Linked DNA regions of Anolis sagrei. The protein of the gene in region 3 purifies or fractionates together with the protein of the main gene of each other region. This does not show direct contact. Links are inferred from orthologs where the notes say so. Each region holds a gene or a part of one and is shown on either strand. Other genes may lie near its edges.

What was found.
Region 1: the proteins of TSEN2 (region 3) and TSEN15 purify together in Homo sapiens (affinity purification with mass spectrometry; 4 studies listed by BioGRID and IntAct, counting the BioPlex papers as one, with this or other methods). This does not show direct contact. The link is inferred for Anolis sagrei from reciprocal best matches to the Homo sapiens genes TSEN2 and TSEN15.
Region 2: the proteins of TSEN2 (region 3) and TSEN34 purify together in Homo sapiens (affinity purification with mass spectrometry; 3 studies listed by BioGRID and IntAct, counting the BioPlex papers as one, with this or other methods). This does not show direct contact. The link is inferred for Anolis sagrei from reciprocal best matches to the Homo sapiens genes TSEN2 and TSEN34.

What each region holds. Positions count from the first base shown.
Region 1 is NC_090024.1:122,178,013-122,186,006, forward strand, and holds the start of TSEN15 (tRNA-splicing endonuclease subunit Sen15), read right to left. Parts: upstream 3,037-7,994; 5' UTR 2,999-3,036; coding exon 2,828-2,998; intron 1-2,827. UniProt on the Homo sapiens protein: Non-catalytic subunit of the tRNA-splicing endonuclease complex, a complex responsible for identification and cleavage of the splice sites in pre-tRNA. It cleaves pre-tRNA at the 5' and 3' splice sites to release the intron.
Region 2 is NC_090026.1:19,085,221-19,092,385, reverse strand, and holds the start of TSEN34 (tRNA-splicing endonuclease subunit Sen34), read right to left. Parts: upstream 3,171-7,165; coding exon 2,921-3,170; intron 422-2,920; coding exon 150-421; intron 1-149. UniProt on the Homo sapiens protein: Constitutes one of the two catalytic subunit of the tRNA-splicing endonuclease complex, a complex responsible for identification and cleavage of the splice sites in pre-tRNA. It cleaves pre-tRNA at the 5'- and 3'-splice sites to release the intron.
Region 3 is NC_090022.1:64,428,204-64,436,120, reverse strand, and holds the start of TSEN2 (tRNA-splicing endonuclease subunit Sen2), read left to right. Parts: upstream 1-4,845; 5' UTR 4,846-4,991; intron 4,992-7,917.

The DNA.
Region 1 (7,994 bases), on a different chromosome or scaffold from region 3:
CTGGTTTTCAGTAAGGCCTTCGACAAGGTCCCCCATGACCTTCTGGCAAGGAAACTAGTCCAATGTGGGCTAGGCAAAAGTATGGTGAGGTGGATCTGTAATTGGTTAAGTGGACGAACCCAGAGGGTGATTCTCACCAATGCTTCCTCTTCATCTTGGAAAGAAGTGACAAGTGGATTGCCGCAGGGTTCCGTCCTGGGCCCGGTCCTGTTCAACATCTTTATTAATGACTTAGACGAAGGGCTAGAAGGCATGATCATCAAATTTGTAGACGACACCAAATTGAGAGGGAGAGCCAATACTCCAGAGGACAGGAGCAGGATTCAAAACGATCTTGACAGATTAGAGAGATGGGCTAAAACTAACAAAATGAAGTTCAACAGGGACAAATGCAAGATACTCCACTTTGGCAGGAAAAACGAAATGCAAAGATACAGAATGGGGGACAATGCCTCGCTCGAGAGCAGTATGTGTGAAAAAGATCTTGGAGTCCTCGTGGACAACAAGTTAAACATGAGCCAACAATGTGATGTGGCAGCAAAAAAAGCCAATGGGATTTTGGCCTGCATCAATAGGAGCATAGTGTCTAGATCTAGGGAAGTAATGCTACCCCTCTATTCTGCTTTGGTTAGTCCACACCTGGAATAGTGTGTCCAATTCTGGGCACTGCAATTGAAGAGAGATGTTGACAAGCTGGAATGTGTCCAAAAGAGGGTGACTAAAATGATCAAGGGTCTGGAGAACAAGCCCTATGAGGAGCAGCTTAAGGAGCTGGGCATGTTTAGCCTGAAGAAGAGAAGGCTGAGAGGAGATATGATAGCCATGTATAAATATGTGAGAGGAAGTCACAGGGAGGAGGGAGCAAGCTTGTTTTCTGCTTCCCTGGAGACTAGGACGCGGAACAATGGCTTCAAACTACAAGAAAGGAGATTCCACCTGTACATGAGGAAGAACTTCCTGACTGTGAGAGCCGTTCAGCAGTGGAACTCTCTGCCCCGGAGTGTGGTGGAGGCTCCTTCTTTGGAGACTTTTAAACAGAGGCTAAAGGCCATCTGTCGGGGTGCTTAGAATGCAATTTTCCTGCTTCGTGGCAGGGAGTTGGACTGGATGGCCCATGAGGTCTCTTCCAACTCTAGGATTCTATGATTTCAATGGCTTCTCTGTGTAGTCTGACACACAAAAAACCACAGCAACCCAGTGATTCCAGCCATGAAAGCCTTCGACAATACACTAAGTATCTTTGATAAGAATACAAGGCTGTACTAGATGCCACCAAAGTCCTAGCAGTATACTATTCCCAACCAGAAGTACCTGTTTCATTCTACATCTATATAAATAAAAATGTAATGTTCATTTGTGGGATTAACAGAACTCAAAAACCACTGAACGAATTGCCGCCAAATTTGGACACAAGACACCTAACAACCCAATGTATGTCCTTCACACAAAAAAAATGATTTTGTCATTTGGGAGATGTAGTTGCTGGGATTTATAGTTCACCTACAATCAAAGAGCATTCTGAACTCCACCAACAATGGAATTGAACTAAACTTGGCACACAGTTCTCCCATGACCAACAGAAAATACTGAAAGGGTTTGGTGGGCAGTGTCCTTTGGTTTTGGAGTTGTAGTTCACCTACATCCAGAGATCCAATGATAGATCTGGACCAAAGTTGGCACGAATACTCAATATGCCCACATGTGAACTCTGGTGGCGTTTGGGGAAAATAGACCTTGACATTTGGGAGTTGTACTTGCTGGGATTTATAGTTCACCTACAATCACAGAGAATTCAGAACCCCACCAACAATAGAATTGGGCCAAATCTCCTACACAGAATCCCCATGACGGCCACAGCAGCGTGTGGCAGGGGACGGCTAGTCTATATAAATAAAAATGTAATGTTAGTTTGTGGTATTCACAGAACTCAAAAACCACTGGACAAATTGACACCAAATTTGGACAGCATACACCTAACAACCCAATGTATGTCCTTCACTCAAAAAAATTGATTTTGTCATTTGGGAGTTGTAGTTGCTGGGATTTATAGTTCACCTACAATCAAAGAGCATTCTGAACCTCACCAACGATGGACTTGAACCAAACTTGGCACACAGGACTCCCATGACCAACAGAAAATACTGGAAGGGTGTCCTTTGGTTTTGGAGTTGTAGTTCACCTACATCCAGAGATCACTGTGGACTCAAACAATGATGGATCTGGACTACACGAATACTCAATATGCCCAAGTGTGAACACTGCTGGAGTTTGGGGAAAATAGAATCTTGGCATTTGGGAGTTGTAGTTGCAGGGATTTATAGTTCACCTACAATCACAGACCATTCTGAACCCCACCAAGGATAGAATTGGGCCAGCCTTCCCACAGAGAACCCCCATGTGGGCCACAGCAATGCATGGCAGAGGACGGCTAGTACATTATAAAATCCATATTACATGCTTTGAACTTGATTATATGGCAGTGTAGACTTATATAATTCGGTTCAAGGCAGATAATGTGGATTATATGGAAGTGTATATGCCAGCTCTGGATTCGGAAACTGAATTATGTCAGTGTAGATCCAGCCTGAGTCTGCACTACTCATATAATGCAATTCCAAACTGCATTAGATGGCAGTGTTGATGGGGCCCTTCCAAAGGGACAAAATTGCCTCCAGCCATTGAGCACGGGAAAGCAGATGCTAATGTTGGTGGAGCAGGCATCAAATGAGATTCCATGACATGATCCCACCCCTCTGATATTGGAATGAAATCGGGCCATCCACACGCATAGTCATAAACGGTTTCATCCCGCCCTATCCTTGCTCACCGCAGGATGCACTTCTAGCCAGCTCCCTCCCGGTGCCCACTGCGCAGGCGCCGCGGCTCCCTGCTCCTCTCCTTCCTCCTGCTTCGCCAGACCAGGGAAGCCGAAGCCTCGCGCCGGGGGAGCCTCGTCCCCGCTGCCGCCGTGCCCGCAGCTGCTCCCTGGCGCTTCCATGCTCGAAGTGGGTGTGTCGCGGCTTCGCTCCGGCGGTGCCTCGACATTCTAAGCCCCCGCGGAACATGCGCACGGGCTCTAAGGTTCCGATTTCACCTCTCGGGCTCTTACTTCCAGGCTTTGAAGGACTTTTTCAAGCACCGAGGGGGCAGGTCATTGCCATTAGAAGTGGTGCGTCCCCGGAACAGCAAAACTATAACATATGCAGCCTCCCTCTGAGTATTTCCTAATCAAAATTGAGGGGGAAGCCGTTTTTATTATGCACTAGCTGTCCCCTGCCACGCATTGCTGTGGCCCGGTCTGGTGATCTGGAAAATAAAGTAATGAGAAAGTGTTGGTTTCTAATATATGTAATGTCTCTCTGCTTGTGAGTAAACTAAACAGTATTTCTTCTTGTTTCTTTGTCACTGTTGATGTGGAGATTGTGTGATTTGCCTACTCTGTAACATGTAACATATCATTGTCCTTCTTTAGGGGTTCCTCAACATCTACACAAATGACCAGCCACTGCCAGAAGGGACAGAGAGTTTCATCTATAGGTTCTTGTGGGTTTTTTCGGGCTATATGGCCATGTTCTAGAGGCATCTCTCCTGACGTTTCGCCTGCATCTATGGCAAGCATCCTCAGAGGTAGTGAGGTCTGTTGGAACTGGGAAGGGGTTTATATATCTGTGGAATGACCAGGGTGAGACAAAGGACTTTTGTCAGTTGGGCTAGGTGTGAATATTTCAACTGACCACCTTGATTAGCATACAATGGGCTGACTGTGCCTGGAGCAAACTCTTCTTGAAAGGTAATTAGATGTTCCTGCCTGTTTCCTCTCTGCTGTTTTTGCTGTTGCAATTTTAGAATTTTTTAATACTGGTAGCCAGATCTTGTTCATTTTCATGGTTTCCTCCTTTCTGTTGAAACCTGGATACAGCATTTTATTTGAGAACACAAAAATGCTGGACCACTCTCACAACCACCATGTCAGACTACACAGAGAAGCCATTGAAATACACAAACATGTGGACAATTTCAACAGAAAGGAGGAAACCATGAAAATGAACAAAATCTGGCTACCAGTATTAAAAAATTCTAAAATTGCAACAGCAAAAACAGCAGAGAGGAAACAGGCAGGGACATCTAATTACCTTTCAAGAAGAGTTTGCTCCAGGAACAGTCAGCCCATTGTATGCTAATCAAGGTGGTAGAACAGAAGCTTTCCGAAGCTCTAGATGCTCTTACTGCCTATTACAGGGAAAACCAGCTGATCCCCAACCCATCTAAAACACAGACATGTGCCTTTCATCTCAAGAACAGACAAGCATCCCGAGCTCACCTGGGAAGGAATCCCACTGGAGCATTGCAGCGCAGCCAAATACCTGGGAGTCACTCTGGACCGTGCTCTGACCTACAAGAAGCACTGCCTGAACATCAAGCAAAAAGTGGGTGCTAGAAACAATATCATACGAAAGCTGACTGGCACAACCTGGGGATCACAACCAGACACAGTGAAGACATCTGCCCTTGCGCTGTGCTACTCTGCTGCTGAGTTTGCATGCCCAGTGTGGAACACATCTCACCACACTAAAACAGTGGATGTGGCTCTTAATGAGACATGCCGCATTATTACGGGGTGTCTGCGCCCTACACCACTGGAGAAATTACACTGTCTAGCCAGTATCGCACCACCTGACATCCGTCGGGAAGTGGCAGCCAATAGTGAAAGGACCAAGGCAGTGACATCTCCAGCTCATCCCGTTTGGGTACCAGCCAGCACGTCAACGACTTAAATCAAGAAATAGTTTTCTAAGATCTACAGAGACACTCGCTGGAACACCTCATGTTCAGATGGAATCTCCTCTCCCGTAGTTTGAAGCCATTGTTCCTTGTCCTAATATCCAAGGAAGCAGAAAACAAGCTTGCTCCCTCCTCCCTGTGGCTTCCTCTCACATATTTATACATGGCTATCATATCTCCTCTCAGTCTTCTCTTCTTCAGGCTGAACATGTCCAGCTCCTTAAGCCGCTCCTCATAGGGCTTGTTCTCCAGACCCTTGATCATTTTAGTCGCCCTCCTCTGGACACATTCCAGCTTGTCAAGTAGTACAGGACAGCTGGATTCCATCCTGCATGTTCTTCTGCACTGCCCACTCTACCAGGAACCAAGATCTAGCTTGGTACTACAAGTTATAGATTCTATGAAAAGCCATACCGACCCAGACAAAGTAATTATGCTTTTAAACTGCCAAGATTTTAACTGATGTCTCAGTGGCAACGTTCCTGAATGAAGTCTGTAAATTGAACGTGTAACAAATGTGAAATTCCCTAATCAATAATTTATAGTGTACTAGTGGTCCCTTGCCACGCGTTGCTGTGGCCCAGTCTGGTGATCTGGAAAATAAAGTAATGAGAAAGTATTGGTTTCTAATATATGTAATTTTTTAATGCTTGTGGGTAAACAGTATTTCTTGCTGTATCTTTGTCAGTGTTGATGTGGAGATTGTCTGGTTTTCTACTCTGGAACATGCAACATATCATTTTCCTTCTTTAGGGGTCCCTTTCAAATCTATGGTACTATATCTGTCATAAACGTGTGTGTGTGTGAATCAAATATATTTATATCTATGGCTGGATGGTTCTTTGTCATGAGGGCTTTATGTTTTCTTGCTCTGGTGAAAGGAGTTGGACTGGATGGCCTTAAGGCAGCATTTCTCAACCTGGAGTTTGGGACCCCTGGAGTGGGTTGTGCTCATTGGAGGCATCTATCTTCCTTCGCTCAGCCTTCCCTATGGTCCAGCTCTCACATCCGTAGGTGACTATGGGGAATACCATTGCTTTAACTATGCGGAGGGGGTGTCAGAAGGGTCACCAAAGACCACCAGAAAACACAGTATTTTATGTTGATCATGAGGGTTCTGTGTGGGAAGTTTGCCCCAATTCTGCCGTTGGTGGGGTTCAGAATGCTCCTTGATTGTAGGTGAACAACAAATCCCAGTAACTACAACTCCCAAATGTCAAGGTCTATTTCCCTAAAACTTCATCTGTGTTTATATTTGGGCATATTGAGCAGTGTGAGCTTCCACTGTCAGCCCCAGCTTCTGCCAACCTAGCAGTTCGAAAACATGCAAATGTGAGTAGATCAATAGGTACCAGTCCGGCGGGAAGGTAACGGCACTCCATGTCATGCCAGCCACATGCGCTTGGAGGTGTCTATGGACAATGCCAGCTCTTCGGCTTAGAAATGGAGATGAGCACCACACCCCAGTCAGACATGACTGGACTTCATGTTGGGGGAAAAACCTTTATCTTTACCTAAATGTGTATAACTTTACAGTCTAACTGGAATCACTCCTCTTTAAAGAATCTTGCAATGATTTTCACTAAAACTTTCCTTGGGACCACTGGATGAGTTTTTGTCTACATTTGGGCTCAGTAGTCAGAATTATCTCTTAGAAATTGTTTTCTATCCGATAGATCTGTCTATCTAATGATTATAGAGAACTGGGAGGAGGGAAAGTTTAATTTTTATTGCAATTTTGAGACTCCTCGGTTGATTTATCCAGAGGTATTTAGAGCCCAGGTGTACTTTGGCTACAAACCCAGATTATCTTCCTGGCACACTAAGAGCTACAGTCCAATATGCACTTTCTTGGATGTCAAGCACTATTTGATTTGACAGTATTTATGTCTGAGCAAACATGCATAAGATTGGACTGTGCATAGCCTGGACTATAAGTGGTAGATTGCTAAACTTGCCTTCCAGTAAAAAAAAAAAAATGGAGATGGGCAGTTCTGATTGGGGATGATATTCCAAAATATTTGGGAAATGGCTGGATTTTTTTAATGTTGTTTATTAGTTCCTGGGTTGCAGTTAAACATAAAAAAAACAAGATTATGGCAACAAGAATGATTGACAACTGCGAAATAGAGGAAGAAAATGTGGAGACAGTGACAGACTTTGTATTTCTAGGTGCAAAGATTACTGCAGACACAGACTGCAGCCAGGAAATCAAGAGACACTTACTTCTTGGGAGGAGAGCAATGTCCAATCTCAATAAAATAGTGAAGAGTAGAGACATCACACTGGCAACCAAGATCTGCATAGTTAAAGCAATGGTATTCCCTGTAGTCACCTACGGATGTGAGAGCTGGAACTTAGGGAAGGCTGAGCGAAGGAAGATAGATGCCTCCAATAAGTAGTCGGGCTTTATTTCCTGGAGGATGGACTGGTTGGATCTTCTCGCTGTCCAAGGCACTCTCAGCACTTTCCTCCATCATCACAGTTCAAAAGCATCTATCTTCCTATTTCTTTTTTTTTTCAATTAATTTTTTTTTAGTTTGTTCATTTGCAATTGTACATGTAACAAAACCAAAAAACCGGGCACAGAATGTTGGAAGCAGCAAAGAGAGGGAGATGCAATCCAAACCACTCATGAGATAGATTTATAACTTTGCAAAAGATACTATCCAGCCACAAAGCTAAATTCTTTGTTCCTGCTATTTTCCTTGCCCCTTGCCTGCCTTAGCTAAGTGAGTGATGGTGGTACATCTTAATATTTATTATTATTATATTTATTTACAGCATTTATATTCCACCCTTCTCACCCCGCAGGGGACTCAGGGCGGATTACAGTGTACACATATATGGCAAACATTCAATGCCAATTTTAACATACAACATATACAGACATACTCAGAGGCTATTTAACTTTTTCTGGCCGCCAGGGGAGCTGTCGCTTTCATCGTCCATCTGCAACACTGATGAAGCACTTCCGCACTCCCCGCATGCTTTTTTTGCTGGAGTGCTTTGCTGGAGTCTTTTTTATGGCCTCATAAATTAGTTAATTTAGCCTCCCCACACTTTAAGGTGGTACCTAATTTTCCTACTTGACAGATGCAATTGTCTTTCGGGTTGCAAAGGTCGACAACAGGCTACACAATTGGTTGGAAACCCACTCCAACCTGGGCTGGCTTCGAACTCATGACCTTTTGGTCAGAGTGATCTTAATG
Region 2 (7,165 bases), on a different chromosome or scaffold from region 3:
GGCTGGGCTTCCTCTTGCAGATGGCTGATTCTTTCACACCAGAAGCAACTTGCAGTATATTTTCAAGTCACTTCTGACATGATAAAAAACAAATCACAAGGTTTGGGATGTTTTCCTCTCTAAAGAGCAATACTGTGATGGCTTATCACCTGGCTTGTATCCTCCCCAAGGGCTGGGGATGCTGGGTTTTTACACAGGATTGCCAGGCCGTTTTCCAGCAGCAGCCGGGCTTCTTCCGGGAGCAACTGCAGAGGAAGCCCCAGCCTCACGTTCTGGCGTGGCTTCCGAGCCAATGCCCCAAACAGCGTGCCAACTATGCGATGCTCCTCTCGGATGCGCCATGCATCAGCGTAATTCCACACCAAAGCCTTTCCCTCCAGGATGTGAATTCGGATCATGTCTGGGCCTGGATGCATGTCTCCTTGAGAAGAAGGGAGAGGATCAAAATACACAAAGCATCATACCACTAATTGTCTTTGAGGTGAGGGTGACAGTTGTCCCTCCACATTTGCAGATTTGATTGTTTGCATAATGATTAATACGAGTTGCGTTCGAGGACCTAGATCAGGCATGGGCAAACTTGGGCCCTCCAGGTGTTTTGGATTTCAACACCCACAATTCCTAACAGCCAGTAGGAATTGTGGGAGTTGAAGTCCAAAACACCTGGAGGGCCCAAGTTTGCCCATGCCTGATCTACACAGTAGAAGGAACATGGTTTGACACCACTTAAACTACCATAGCTCAATGTTATGGGATTATGGGATGTGTAGTTTGGGAAGGCACCAACACTATTGTGCAGAGAAGGCTAAAGATCTTGTAAAATTAATACTAGAACTTCCAAGATTCCATAACATTGATCCATGGCCATTAAAGTGGTGCCAAGCTGCCTCAATTCTACAGTACCTGAAGTCCAAAAAAGTCAAGAGATGTTGTGACTACAACTCCCATCATCCCCAGCTGGGTGTAATGAACCAACACAATGAAACTTAATAGTTAAAAACAAATACTTAAAATGAAATGAAACAACCCAAAAAGGCCAGGTGTGTTGTGACTACAACTCCCATCATCCCCAGCCAGTAGCTGATGGGTGCTTATTCCAATGCAATTTAACATACTATTTCATCACACTTAAAATCTGGTTTCTACCTCTTGCAGAATTCCAGGGTTTGTATTATAGTGAGGCTGTTAAAGGCTCCTCACTAAACTACAAACCCCAGAATTCTGCCGGATTTAAAGTGGATTCATTCTCTAGTGATGAGGTCTTATAGAATAGTTAAAAGCACGGAGAACCAAAAAAGCTAGATGTGTTGTGACTACAACTCCCATCATCCCCAGCCAGCAGCTGATGGGTGCTTAGTTCAATACAATTAAACACAGAATAGTTAAAAACACAGCACATAGAACCAAAAAAAAAAGAGGTGTTGTGACTACAACTCCCATCGTCCACAGCAGGCAGCTGATGGGTGCTGTGGTGCAATGCAATTAAACATAGAATAGTTAAAAACACAGCACATAGAACCAAAAAAGATAGATATGTTGTGACTACAACTGCCATCGTCCCCAGCTGGCAGCTGATGGGTGCTGTAGTGCAATGCAATTTAACACATAGCACATAGAACCAAAAAAGCTAGATGTGTTGTGACTACAACTCCCATTGTCCCCAGCCGGCAGCTGATGGGTGCTGTAGTGCAATGCAATTAAACACAGAACAGTTAAAACACTGCACATAGAACCAAAAAAGCTAGATGTGTTGTGACTACAACTCCCATAATCCCCAGCTGGCAGCTGATGGGTGCTGTGGTGCAACACAATTAAACATAGAACTACAACTACAACTCCCATTGTCCCCAGCCGGCAGCTGATGGGTGCTGTAGTGCAATGCAATTAAACACAGAACAGTTAAAACACAGCACACAGAACCAAAAAAGCTAGATGTGTTGTGACTACAACTCCCAATCGTCCCCAGCCGGCAGCTGATGGGTACTGTAGTGCAATGCAATTAAACATGAAATAGTTAAAAACACAGCATATAGAACCAAAAAAGATGTGTTGTGACTACAACTCCCATAATCCCCAGCTGGCAGCTGATGGGTGCTGTAGTGCAATGCAATTAAACACAGAATAGTTAAAAACACAGCACATAGAACCAAAAAAGTTAGATGTGTTGTGACTCCAACTCCCATCATCTCCAGCCAGCAGCTGATGGGTGCTTAGTGCAATACAATTAAACACAGAACAGTTATAACACAGCACATAGAACCAAAAAAGACAGATGTGTTGTGACTACAACTCCCATCATCCCCAGCCGGCAGCTGATGGGTGCTGTGGTGCAATATAATTAAACATAGAATAGTTAAAAACACAGCACATAGAACCGAAAAAGATAGATGTGTTGTGACTACAACTCCCATCGTCCACAGCCGGCAACTGATGGGTGCTGTGGTGCAATACAATTAAACATAGAATAGTTTAAAAAACGAAAACTTTAAAAAACACATTGAACCTAAAAAAGTCAGGTGTGTTGTGACTACAACTCCCATCATCCCAGACAGCAACGAATGGGTGCTATAGTCAAACATAATGAAGCATAGAATTGTTCCAAACGAGCACATGGAATTAAAAAAACCCAGAGGTGTTGTGACTACAAATCCCATCTTCCCCAGACATCAGCTAATGGGTACTGTAGTCCAACACAATGAAACAGAATTGTTCAAAAAAAAGTGCTTTAAAAGCACATGGAACAACAACAAAAAAGACAAGAAGTGTTGTGGCTACAAATCCCATCACCCCCAGCTAGCAGATGATGGGTGCTGTAGTCCCAACATATTAGGAGGGCATTATATAGGGGTTTCCAGCGAAACCCCGATTCTTGGGCTCTCCACACCCGCTCTTAAACCGGTTTCAATCCAGGTCGCCCTACCCTTTGAACTCCTCTTGCGTCCTTCCCGGGACTGGAGCGATGCGAGGCTGGACCAATGGGAGCCTTCAAGGCGGGCGATAGGGAAATTGCGGAGTGGATTCAGAAGAAAGGAGCGGAGGAGGAAAGGAAAGGAAGGCAGAGAAGGGGAGCATTTGCACCAAGCAGCAGCGACTGCAAAGGAGAGGAAACGGTGCGAGGCAGACAGGAAGAGGCAGGCGGTCTTTGCAAGGCTTGGGTCCATCCCAGGCATGGCTTTTGCAAGAGGCTAAAACCCTCCTGCACGCATTCGTGGGCTCCTGCCCGCTTTCTTCCACCCATTCCCACGATCGGGCAAGCTACACGTGTTTGGGAAGGCTTCTCCTGAAAAGGTGAGAGCACGGGTCGAGTGTAGGATCTCTTTGGGAAAAGGGGAGAGGGCAGAGAAAAGAGAGAGAGGAGGGATTTACAAGCAAAGGCCTAGGCTGGGAGATGGGAGCATCTACACTGTCAGGTTAACGCAGTTTGACACCGCTTTAAACTAACATGACTCAGTGCTATGGAAACTAAGGACTTATAGTTTGCTTTCTATGGAAACTAAGGACTTATAGTTTGCTCTCTATGGAAACTAAGGACTTATAGTTTGCTCTCTATGGAAACTAAGGACTTATAGTTTGCAAAGCATTGCAGAACTACAAGTCCAGTGATTCCATACCAATTAAACTGCATTCATTCTACAGTGCAGATGCCCCCAATGTTATGGAATCCTGTCAGTTGTAGTTTTACAAGGGCTTTTGCATTTTTCCCCCAAAATGTGCTTCTGCCTCTCCAAACTACAAATCCCATGATTACATAGTATTGAACCAAGCCAGTTTAAATGCTATCAAACTGTCCCAAACTAAAATCCCATAATTTCATAGTATTGACCCATGGCAGTTTAAATGCTATCAAATTGCCTTAATTTTACAGTGTGGATGCATCTCAACTGGGATTTTTTCCAGATTTGATCATATAATGTATAGTTACAATGTTAGGGCTTGGGGGAAAGTGATAGGAAGGCCCAGAGGCTGAGTGCAGTCCCAGTTTGAGCTGTCTGTTGGGGCACATTTCATCAGTTTGTCCCAATTGTGGCTTCTAGGAACTGCGGAACTCTCCGCTGCATGTCAGACCAACTTGAAGGCGGGGTCTCCGCTGCCCTCGATGACAGATTGAGTATCCCTTAACTGAAATGCTTGAGACCAGAATTATTTGGGATTTCAAATATTGGAATATTTGCAATACACACACACACACACGGTAGTGTTTCTCAACCTTCCTCATGATGTGGTGACCCCCAAACATAAAATTATTTTCGTTGCTACTTCATAACTCTAATTTTGCTACTGTTATGAATCGTAATGTAAATATCTGATATGCAGGATCAGGCCCATAGCCAGTTAATTTTGCTTAAACTGTTTTTGTATGTTTTGTATAATGTGATATAGGCATCAAATTGTGCCTTCGTTTGTAAGCCGCCCTGAGTCCCCCCTCGGGGGTGAGAAGGGCGGGGTAGAAGTAATTGAAATAAATAAATAAAAATAAATAAACTTTGACGTTTGGGAGTTGTAGTTGTTGAGATTTGTAGTTCACCTACAATCAAAGAGCATTCTGAACCCCACCAACAATAGAATTGGGCCAAACTTCCCACACAGAACCGCCATGACCAACAGAAAATACTGTGTTTTCTGATGGTCTTTGGTGACCTCTCTGACACCCCCTCACGACCACCCCAGGGGTCCCGACCCCCCAAGTTGAGAAACGCTGATATAGGGAGTTATATTTTATACGCAATATTGTAAACGATTTTATGCACAAAACAAAGTTTGTGTACATTGAAAGCAAAGCTGACATCTCCCCAATTTTTGAGTATTTTGTGTTTCCAAATATTGGTGAAGGGACACCCAACCTGTACTTATTTGAGCTAAGATCAGGGGAGAACAATAATATGCCTCATCATTGTTAAGCCATACTCTCAAGAGCTGTATGACAACATACCTTCTAAAGGCCACACAAAGACATTTGGCACACTTTTCATCCTCTTGTGGGACGACGGGGCTATTTTCTCTCTTTTTTTCAAGCCTCTTGAGGAATTTGGTGGATAGAGTTCCTTTTTTTCATCAGTCATTTGGGAATTCCCTATAAAAATCTTGCCCTGCTGTTAAAAATCTCAAAAATTACTAAACCAAGGATTATGTGGATTGAAAAAAAGACAACAATTTACTTTTCTGGATGCCTGAATGATGAATTTTAAGTTCTGATCCTTGATTTACTGTCACTGTTTACTAGTGTTATTCATAGTTGGGAAATACTTGGCAAAACTACGGTTAGGTGGATCTGTAATTGGTCAAGTGAACGAACCCAAAGAGTGCTCACCAATGCTTCCTCTTTATTTATTTACTAGCTTGGGGACCCGGCGTTGCCCGGGTTATTAGAGAAAGTGGGTAATGGCAGTTCTGTATGCCAAGTTTGGTCTTTATTGGTCTTTGGATAACGGCTGCATTATTTTCAGGAAGTGAGTGAAGGTACTTGAAGTCCCATCATCCATGGCCCATCCTCCTACAAATAGCAGCAGGATATAGGGCTCTGTGTCATGGGGGCTCTGTGTGCCAAGTTTGGTCTTTATCAGTCATTAGATGAGGGTGGCAGTGGTGTCAGTAAGTGAGTGAAGGTACTGCAAGTCCCATCACCCAAAGTCCATCCCCTTTCAAACTGCAGCAGGACGTAAAGTGGGTCATGGGGGCTCTGTGTGCTAAGTTTGGTCTTGATCAGTCATTGGATGAGGATCACAGCAGTCTCAGAACATGGGTGAAGGTACTGCAAGTCCCATAATCCATAGTCTCCCTCAAACATCACCAGAATGTTGAGTTGGCCATGGGGGCTCTCTGTGCCAAGTTTGGTCTTTCTTGGTATTTGGATGAGTGTCACTGTGGTTTCAGGAAGTGAGTGAAGGTACTGCAAGTCCCATCATCCATTGTCCGTCCTCCTCCAAACAGCACCAAGATGTAGAGTCGCTCATGGGGGCTCTGTGTGCCAAGTTTGGTCTTGATTGGTCATTACATGAGGGTTGCACCAGTCTTAGGAAGTGAGTGGAGGTACTTGAAGTCCCATCATCCATAGTCTGTTCTCTCCCAAACCTCACCAGAATGTTGAGTTGGCCATGGGGGCTCTGTGTGCCAAGTTTGGTCTTCATCAGTCATTGGATGAGGGTCTCAGTGGTTTCACTGAGTGAAGGTACTCTAAGTCCCATTGTCCATGGTGCATCATCCTCCAAACCGTACCAGGATGTAGAGTGCATCATGGAGACCCGGTGTGCCAAGTTTGGTCCTTATCGGAAATTGGATAATGTTTTGCAGTGGTCTCAGGAATTGAGCGAAGGTACTGCAAGTCCCAAAATCCATGCACGATCCACAGTCAAACCTCACCAGGGCATAAAGTGGGTCATGAGAGGTCTATGTGCCAAGTTTGGTGTTGTTCAATCATTGTTGAGGGTTGCAGCAGTCTCGGAAAGCGAGTAGAGGTACTTCAAGTCCCATCATCCATGGCATGCCCTACTCCAAACCGTATTAGGATGTAGAGTGGGTCATGGGGGCTCTGTGTGCGAAGTTTGGTTTTGTTTGGACATTAGATGAGGGTTGCAGCAGTCTTGGGAAGGGAGTGGAGGTACTTCAAGTCCCATCATCCATGGTCTCTCCTCCTCGAAAGTGCACCAGGATGTAGAGTGGGTCATGGGGACTCTGCTTGCCAAGTTTGGTCTTGATAAGTCATTGGCGAGGGTCACAGTGATCTCAGGAAGTGAGTGAAATGATTGCAAGTCCCATCATCCATTGCCAAATTCTTCCAAACCGCACCAGGATGTAGAGTGGGTCATGCAGGCTCTTAGTGTAAATTGTGGTTCTGTTCCATCATTGTTGGCAGTTGTAATGGTCTTAGGAAGGGAGTTTAGGTATTGTAAGTCCCATCGTCCATGGTGCATCCTCCTTCAAACTGCACCTGGATGTAGAGTGCGTCATGGAGACTCAGTGTGCCAAGTTTGGTATTTATCGGTAATTGGATGAGGGTTGCAGTGGTCTGAAGAATTGAACAATGGTACTGCAAGTCCCATAATCCACGGTCCATCGCCGGCCAAACCACACCAGGACGTACAGTGGGTCATGAGAGGTCTATGTGCGGAGTTTGGTCCTGATTAGTCATTGGATGAGGTTAACAGCGGTCTCAGAATGTGAGTGGTGG
Region 3 (7,917 bases):
TAAGCACATGCTGGGGTGGGTATCTAGATGTTCTCTCAGGATTAGCCCAGGAGAATGTCTGGAGGCATTTGACTAGTAAACTCCTGCATGGACCTACCCACCTCCCCCCAAGCCTCCAGGCTCCTTTGAAAGGTAAGAAAAACTTACCCGTCCTGCAATATACCCTCGGAATAGCTCTCCCGGCACGTACAAATGATGTGCCAGGAGAGTGGGGAGCGATTTTCCCTCCTCCCCCCCCCCCCCCCGGCGCATCATTTGTACACACCGGGAGAGCTTCTCCGAGGGTATATTGCAGGACAGGTAAGTTTTTTTACCTTTTCAAAAGGGTCTGGGGGTTTGGGGGGAGGGGTGGGTATTGCCACAGTTTACCAGGTTTATTTAGCCCAGTAAATTGTGGGAATGGTGTCTGGATTGTAGCGAATTAATTGTAGCGAATTAATTCTGGACTGTCCAGAACATTGTCTGGACAGCTCCTCCTTTATTGCGGTAGATACCACAATAAAGATCCTATCTGGACGGGCCCTAATATAACCCAGTTCAAAGCAGATATTGTGGGATTTTCTGCCTTGATATTCTGGGATATAGGGTTGTGTGGAAGGGCCCCCAGAATATCAAGGCAGGGTTATCTGAGTCCACACTGCTATATAATCCAGCTCGATGTGGATTTTATACATCTCTGTGGGAGGAGCCTTTATGATAGCATCCAGAAATCCTCAAAAATAAAAACTGAAAATGTGGCAGGGCAACTGGACTTGATTAAGGACAATCTATATAAATCAATATAGAGCAGCTATGGGCAAACTTTGGCCCTCCATGTTTTGGACTTCAACTGGTAGGCTGTTAGGAATTGTGGGAACTGAAGTCCAAAACACCTGGAGGTCCAAAGTTTGCCCATGCCCGATATAGAGCCTTAGTTGTATGTTAGCCATGAATACTGTTGATGACATATAAAGCTAGGACAGTGGTAATTGATGGATTGATACATATCTGCAAGGTATTTGGCTGTCAGTGAATGACAAGTTCGCGGAAAGGAAAAGGAGAATTGCCTTGGGTAGAAAGTCCTTTCATGCCTTTCACATTCGTGCTGCCATGCCACTGTGGCATCCCAGGTGGGTCTAACTGCAACCATTTCCAAGCCCTTTTGTCAAATGCGACCCAAAGGAGGAAGTTCATAATTTATGCTCCCAGGCATTGCCCTTGCTGCAGCAGGGCTGACAAAGGATTAACCTTGACAATGGTTTTTATCACTCTGGAAGGAAACAAACTCTGAGTCCAGAAGCTGACGAACTGCTGTCAACTGAAACTGAACTTGTTGACACACATTTATTTCCAGCAACAAATTGGCAGTTAATGGTTCTAAGGGCAATAAAGGACAGTCTCCGGCACTCACAAGTCTCTTTAAATGGCTGCATATACAGTAACTAAAATGACTTCATTGTTACAGATGGGTGGGGAAAGTTTTTATTTTAGGCAGAGTTAAGAAGGTTGTAATAGCCATATTCTCACTTCCTTCCTGCACTAAACATTAGTGTTTAAAAGGGATGTGGCTTTAAAAAAAACCTGGAAATATCCTTTTCTGAAAGCCTTTGCTTTTGCATAAAAAGTAGCACTTTTGAGGATAGTTTATTTCAACATTATTGCTTTTTCAGTTTTGCAGAAATATGAATTGAAAATTGTAGATATTCCTACTGCTTTTTAAAGGGTTGTTACATCATCTCAGGGGATTTTTTTTAAAGCTTCCATCTCATAGTTTTAAAATGTCATGCATGAAGAGCAGTAGAGTTGTGCTGCAATATGAGATATCAGACCCTTTGACCATAAAATACCTGGGAAACAGGTGCCCTCCTGGTCTATGCAGCACGATGACATGATGCTGTGGTGAGTAATGCCAAAAAGAAAGGGCAAAAGCAACACAATGACTATGGGACTTCCACACAGCCCCTCATCCCAGAATATCAAGGCAGAAAATCCCACAGTATCTGCTTTGAGCTGGGTTATTCAAGTCCACACTAAGTTAAAGTGGGATTTTCTGCCTTGATATTCTGGGATATTGGGCTGTGTGGAAGAGCCCATATTTCAGAGACATATGTGACAAAAGTCCCTTCTAATGTGGTGTCATCTGCAAATTTGAAAGACATCTCTCTATTCCATCAACCAGGTAATTGATAAAGATGTTGTCTAGCCCACATTTTACCAGTTTCTTTGCTAGAATAACGAGGGGAAACCTGTTGAAGGCCTTGGTGAAATCAAGATAAATAAAACTGTAGATACGAGTCCCACAGTTATGAGGATTGGCCTGTATATCATCAACCTGCAAATCTCAGGCCCCTTCTACACTGCCATATAAAATCAAGATTTTGTGCTTTGAACTGGATTATATGGCAATGTAGACTCATATAATCCAGCTAAAAGAAGATAATGTGGATTTTCTGCTTTGATGATCTGGATTATATGGCAATGTAAAAAGGGCCTCAGTATGCCATAGGATGCCACCCCATTGATCGTCAGGGTTGTTATATCAATTAACCTGAGATCAAACTGCTATAACTCTAAGGTGTAGAAACCCTCTAAGTCTGAGCTTTCCAAACTGCATGTCACGAGATGTTCATTGTGTTGACTGCAGCTTGTAGGTGTGTCAGGTAAAAGTAACAAGTCTATGTAAAATCAGCAATAAATCATCTTTTTATGAATATCAATGAATATTTTGCACAAGATATGTTGTGTCCCCATATATTTCATTGTTACCATTTATGTATGTGTCCGAATCTCTTATAAGGGGTTGATTTAATCTCCGGTTTGCTAGTAAATCTTAGTTTACTGTGTTGCAAAATTGTGACTGTCTAAAAAGTGTGTCATTAGCATGAAAAGTTTGGAAAGCTCTGCTCTTAAGTGTTTGAAACTGAAACCAAACTACGGAAGCACAACAAAGTGCAATAGGAATGATCTTGTTGTCTTTATGGTAGATGAAGACCTTTTTAAATATTAGATATTTTTTTACTCCCATTCATTGGGAATGTTAGATATGGTTTATTATGGGGGGAAGGGTCTGTGTGAGAGATTAAAATGAGAACAACAGTACTTTAATTTATTTGTTGGATTTATATCCCCCCTTTCTCCCAGGATGAGAATGCCTTTTTGCAGGTCGAAAGGACAGGAAACTCAAACGTCAATGTGAAAGTCAAATGCCAGGGAGACCTTTTTTCATGAAGGACCAAAAGAAAAAGAAATAAACTATTGATTTTAAATTTACATTTTACAGGGTGAAGCAGCATAACTTCCTTTTTTCAAAACTTAATAGAACTCATTGTATGAATCAGAAAAAAATTATAATGTAGGCACATACCTAAAGTTTTGTTTTACGTAGTATGATGGCACACCGGGAAGGTTTGATGAGAAAACTATATGTGTCCGGCTATTTTCCCAGTGACCATCGGTATGCCCTGTATTTACTTTAATTTCCCCAAAATAAAACTCTAGAGACAAGACTAAATTGAACCAATTAGGTTTACTGAACAATCAAGGTGAATCAAAACAAGGTATGAAGGTGCAGTTTGATTCTTGATGGTATAGAATTAGAATAATAAGGAACAGTTATAAGTAGGTTGGTGACGTCCCCCATTCTCCGTACACTGAGTAAACTGATTTCTGGCCTTTGTCGTGACTCTTGCCAGCATAGCAGGCGTTATGTTGGCAATTTCTTCCTGGATGTTGGTCTTCAAATCTTGTAGGGTCCTTGGACAGGTCACATAAACACAGGATTTCAAAAAACCCCATAGAAAAAATCACAAGGGGCCAAATCTGGAGAGCGGGCCGACCACTCCAAATCCGCTCGAAAAGTAGGCCTCAACGGCAAAAGTTCTACTGTTTCACTGCTCCAACGCATGATGGCGACTGAACTGTGTCACGACAAAACTTTATACTCCCACCTCTCAAACGAGACCACTAGCACTCTGCTACGTCTTCAACCGACTGAATGGCGTGCATTTTAAAAATGGAAGTTATGCTGCCTCACCCTGTATTATTAGTAAAGGAAAGGTAAAGGTTTCCCCTTGATATTATGTCTAGTTGTGTCTGACTCTGGGGGTTGATGTTCATCTCCATTTCAAAGCCGAAGAACCAGCATGGTCCGTTGACACCTCCAAGGTCATGTGGCCGGCATGACTGCATGGAGCGCTATTACCTTCCCGCCAAGACGGTACCTATTGATCTATTCACATTTGCATGTTTTTGAACTGCTAGGTTGGCAGAAGCTGTGGCTAACAGTGGGAGCTCACCCCACTCCCCAGATTTGAACCACCAATTTTTCGGTCAGCAAGTTCAGCAGCTCAGTGGTTTAACCTACTGTGCCACCAAGAGACCGTACATTTTATTAGCATTGGTGTTTTAATCTCTGTTCTTTTTAATATACATATTTTTATCATCCTTTGTTCTGTTTATATATTTCAACTATGTTTACGCCCCACTTGGAGCCATGAGAGACAGGTAACAAATGAAACTTATTATCATTATTATTAATAGTAGCAGTAGCCTTGTAAAACTACAACTCCCAGAATCCCAAAGCATTGAGCCATGGAAGTTAAAGTGGTATCAAAGTGCATCTACAGAATAGATGCAGCCTTCCTCCCGGATAAATGCAAGACCACAAATCGCTTTGCACTAGCAGGGGTTTCCAACCAGGTTCTTGGGACTTCAACTCCCAGAAGCCCCAGTTTGACTGGCTAACTCTCAGGAATTCTGGGAATTGGAGTCCAAAGGCTGACAACCACAGCGTTGACAAAGCACCTGCTATTTTTTACCCCGGAGACGGAGCATGCGCGGGAGGCAATGACGTCAGAGAGAGACCGACTCCATTCTGATCTGTTTAAGGAAACCAGAAGCGCTTCCTTCTTCCGTCGCCGCCGCGGAGCCGGGGCTGCCCTTCTTCCGGTTTCCCTCGCGGAGGGGAGGGGCAGGCGGGGGAGTCCGGCCTCGTTTCCGCTGCCTGGAGTGAGGTCAGTGCCAGAAGCAAGGGAGGCGGGAAGCCATTCGTGGGAAAAGGCCAGAGAGAGGGATGAAGCGCATCTGTACTGCAGAATGAGTGCAGTTTGATCCCACTTTAACTGCCCTGCCTCAGTGCTATGGGATCCTGGGATTGGTAGTTTAGTGAGGCACCATCTCTCTTTGGCAGAGGAGACTGAAGAGCTTGTGAAGCTACCACTCCCAGGATTCCATAGCATTGAATCAGTGTCAAACTGCGTTAATACTGCAGTGTAGATTCACCCTTGGGATGCTGTACTTGGGCGAAAAGGGCATCAGGAAGAGGGCAGGACTTCCCTGGTGTTTTGAGCTTTTGGGTTCTCTTTCACAGGGCAGGTGGAGTGTCCCTCTCACCTCAATATTTTGGGCTGGGATTTAAGCTTTTCTTCCTCCAGATTTTAGAATACCTGTATTTGCATAAAGGTGCACAATCTTGGAAATTGGACCCAATTCTAAACACAAAATTAATATTTCACATATAACTTATTCACATTCTCTGGAGGTAATTTTATGCACACTATTTGTTAATGATTTTGTCCATGAAACTAACTTTGCGCCCACTGAAAGGGAAGGTATCACTATCTCAGCCACTCGATGCATTTTGGAGTAATTCAAAAACATGAACGAATTCCAGTGCACATTGCAAATATTTATTTATTTATTTACTGCATTTGTTGACCGCCGTTCTCAGCCCTAGGGCGACTCACGGCGGTGTACAACATATAAAAAGACAATTTACAATGAAAGCAATATCATAAACAACAATAACAACATCACTATTAATAATACCATTACACTAAATCATTCGCGACGTCTCATCATAGAATCACAATCCAATCTCGTTATCCATATTCCGTTCCACTCATCATTGCCAATTTGCTGTAGCACTTAGTCAAACGCCTTCTCAAACAACCACGTCTTTAGGCTCTTGCGGAATGTCATAAGGGAGGGCGCCTGTCTGATGTCTACAGGGAGGGTGTTCCACAGCCGGGGGGCCACCACCGAGAAGTCTCTATCCCTCGTCCCCGCCAGGCATGCCTGTGAGGCAGGCGGGATCGAGAGAAGGGCCTCCCCAGACGATCTCAAGGTCCTCGTGGGCTCATAGGCCGAGATGCGGTCAGATAGGTATTTTGGGCCGGAACCGTTTAGGGCTTTGTAGGCCAACACCAGCACCTTGAATTGGGCCCGGTAGCAGATCGGCAGCCAGTGGAGCTGGGACAACAAGGGCGTTGTGTGCTCCCTGCGTCCTGCTCCTGTTAGTAACATGGCTGCCGCGCGCTGGACTAGCTGGAGCTTCCGGGCCGTCTTCAAGGGCAGCCCCACGTAGAGAGCGTTGCAGTAGTCAATATCTTATTTGTAGTGCAAAATAGGAGCCCCCAGTGGTGCAGGGGGTTAAAGCGCTGAGCTGCTGAACTTGCTGACCGAAAGATTGCAGGTGCGAATTCAGAGTGGTGTGAGCTCCCGCTGTTAGCCCCAGCTTCTGCCAACCTAGCAGTTCAAAAGCATGCAAATGTGAGTAAATCAATAGGTACTACTCTGCAGGAAGGTAACAGCGCTCCATGAAGTCATGCTGGCCACATGATCTTGGAGGTATCTACAGACAACATTGACTCTTCGACTTAGAAATAGAGATGAGCACCACACCCCAGAGCGGACATGACTGGACTTAATGTCAAGGGAAAACTTTTACCTTTAGCCTACTGCAAAATAACATAAAAGATAACAATATTTTAAAATGAACAATTTTAACCAACATCAGCTTACCAGCAGTTCAACTGAGCAGTTTGAAAACATGCAAATGTGAGTAGATCAATAGGTACTGCACTGCAGGAAGGTAACAGTGCTCCATGAAGTCATGCTGGCCACATGACCTTGGAGGTGTCTACGGACAACGCAGGCTCTTCGACTTAGAAATGGAGATGTGCACCATCCCCCAGAGTCGGACACAGCTGGATTTAATGTCAGGGGAAAACCATTACCTTTATCCTAGTGCAAAATAATGGGAAGTGTAGGCCTGCTATTGGCTGATGAGAAAGTCAAGTTAATAATAATAATAATAATAATAATAATATAATAGCTTTATTTTTATACCCTGTCTCCATCTTCCCGAAGGGACTCGGGGCGGCTTACAAAGGATCAAGCCCGAAAAAACTCAGATTAAAACACAGTGCAATAAAGTAAAATAAAAAAAATAAATTCAAAATATCAAAAATAAACACATCACAATAACACAACACAACATCATAAAAGCAATCCGTAGACTGAACAGTAAAAATACTAAACTCAGAGGGCTAAGAGTTTGTGCAATAGTTTCTGGATAGGGCTAAGGGAAAGTTCAAAATCCGCATGTCGTGGACTCCACTTTGTGGCCCCATTTCATAAGGTTGGCTCTGCATCTCATGGTGCCACAGCGCCACCACTAGGCTTAGGGTGACTCTAAGTCTAAAGTTTAGGGTGAGGGCTGGGTAAGTGACCTTGGAGGTGACCCTGCTCTAAGAGCTCATCCACACTTGACTTACTGCCGTTTGACAACACTTTAGCTGCTTTGTTCAATATTGTGGAATCTTAGAAGTTGGTGTTTTACAAGTCCTTTAGCCTCCTCTGCCAAAGGGAGCTATTGCCTCACCAAACTGCAAATCCCATTATTCCATAGCATTGAGCCATGCTAAAGTAGTGTCAAACTTCACTAATTTTATAGTGCGTAGATGCACCCTTTGCCAGAGCAATGTATTGCCTCACCAAACTATAAATCCCAGAATCGGCAGCCATGGTGGATAAAAAGGAAGCATTACTGTGAAAGGAGGGTCTATTTGCTGCAGAAGAGTCAGATTTGCCCTTGGAATCTGCTGAGGTTTGATTCTAGGGGCCCCTTGGGATTGCAAAATACTGTGGGTGCTCAAG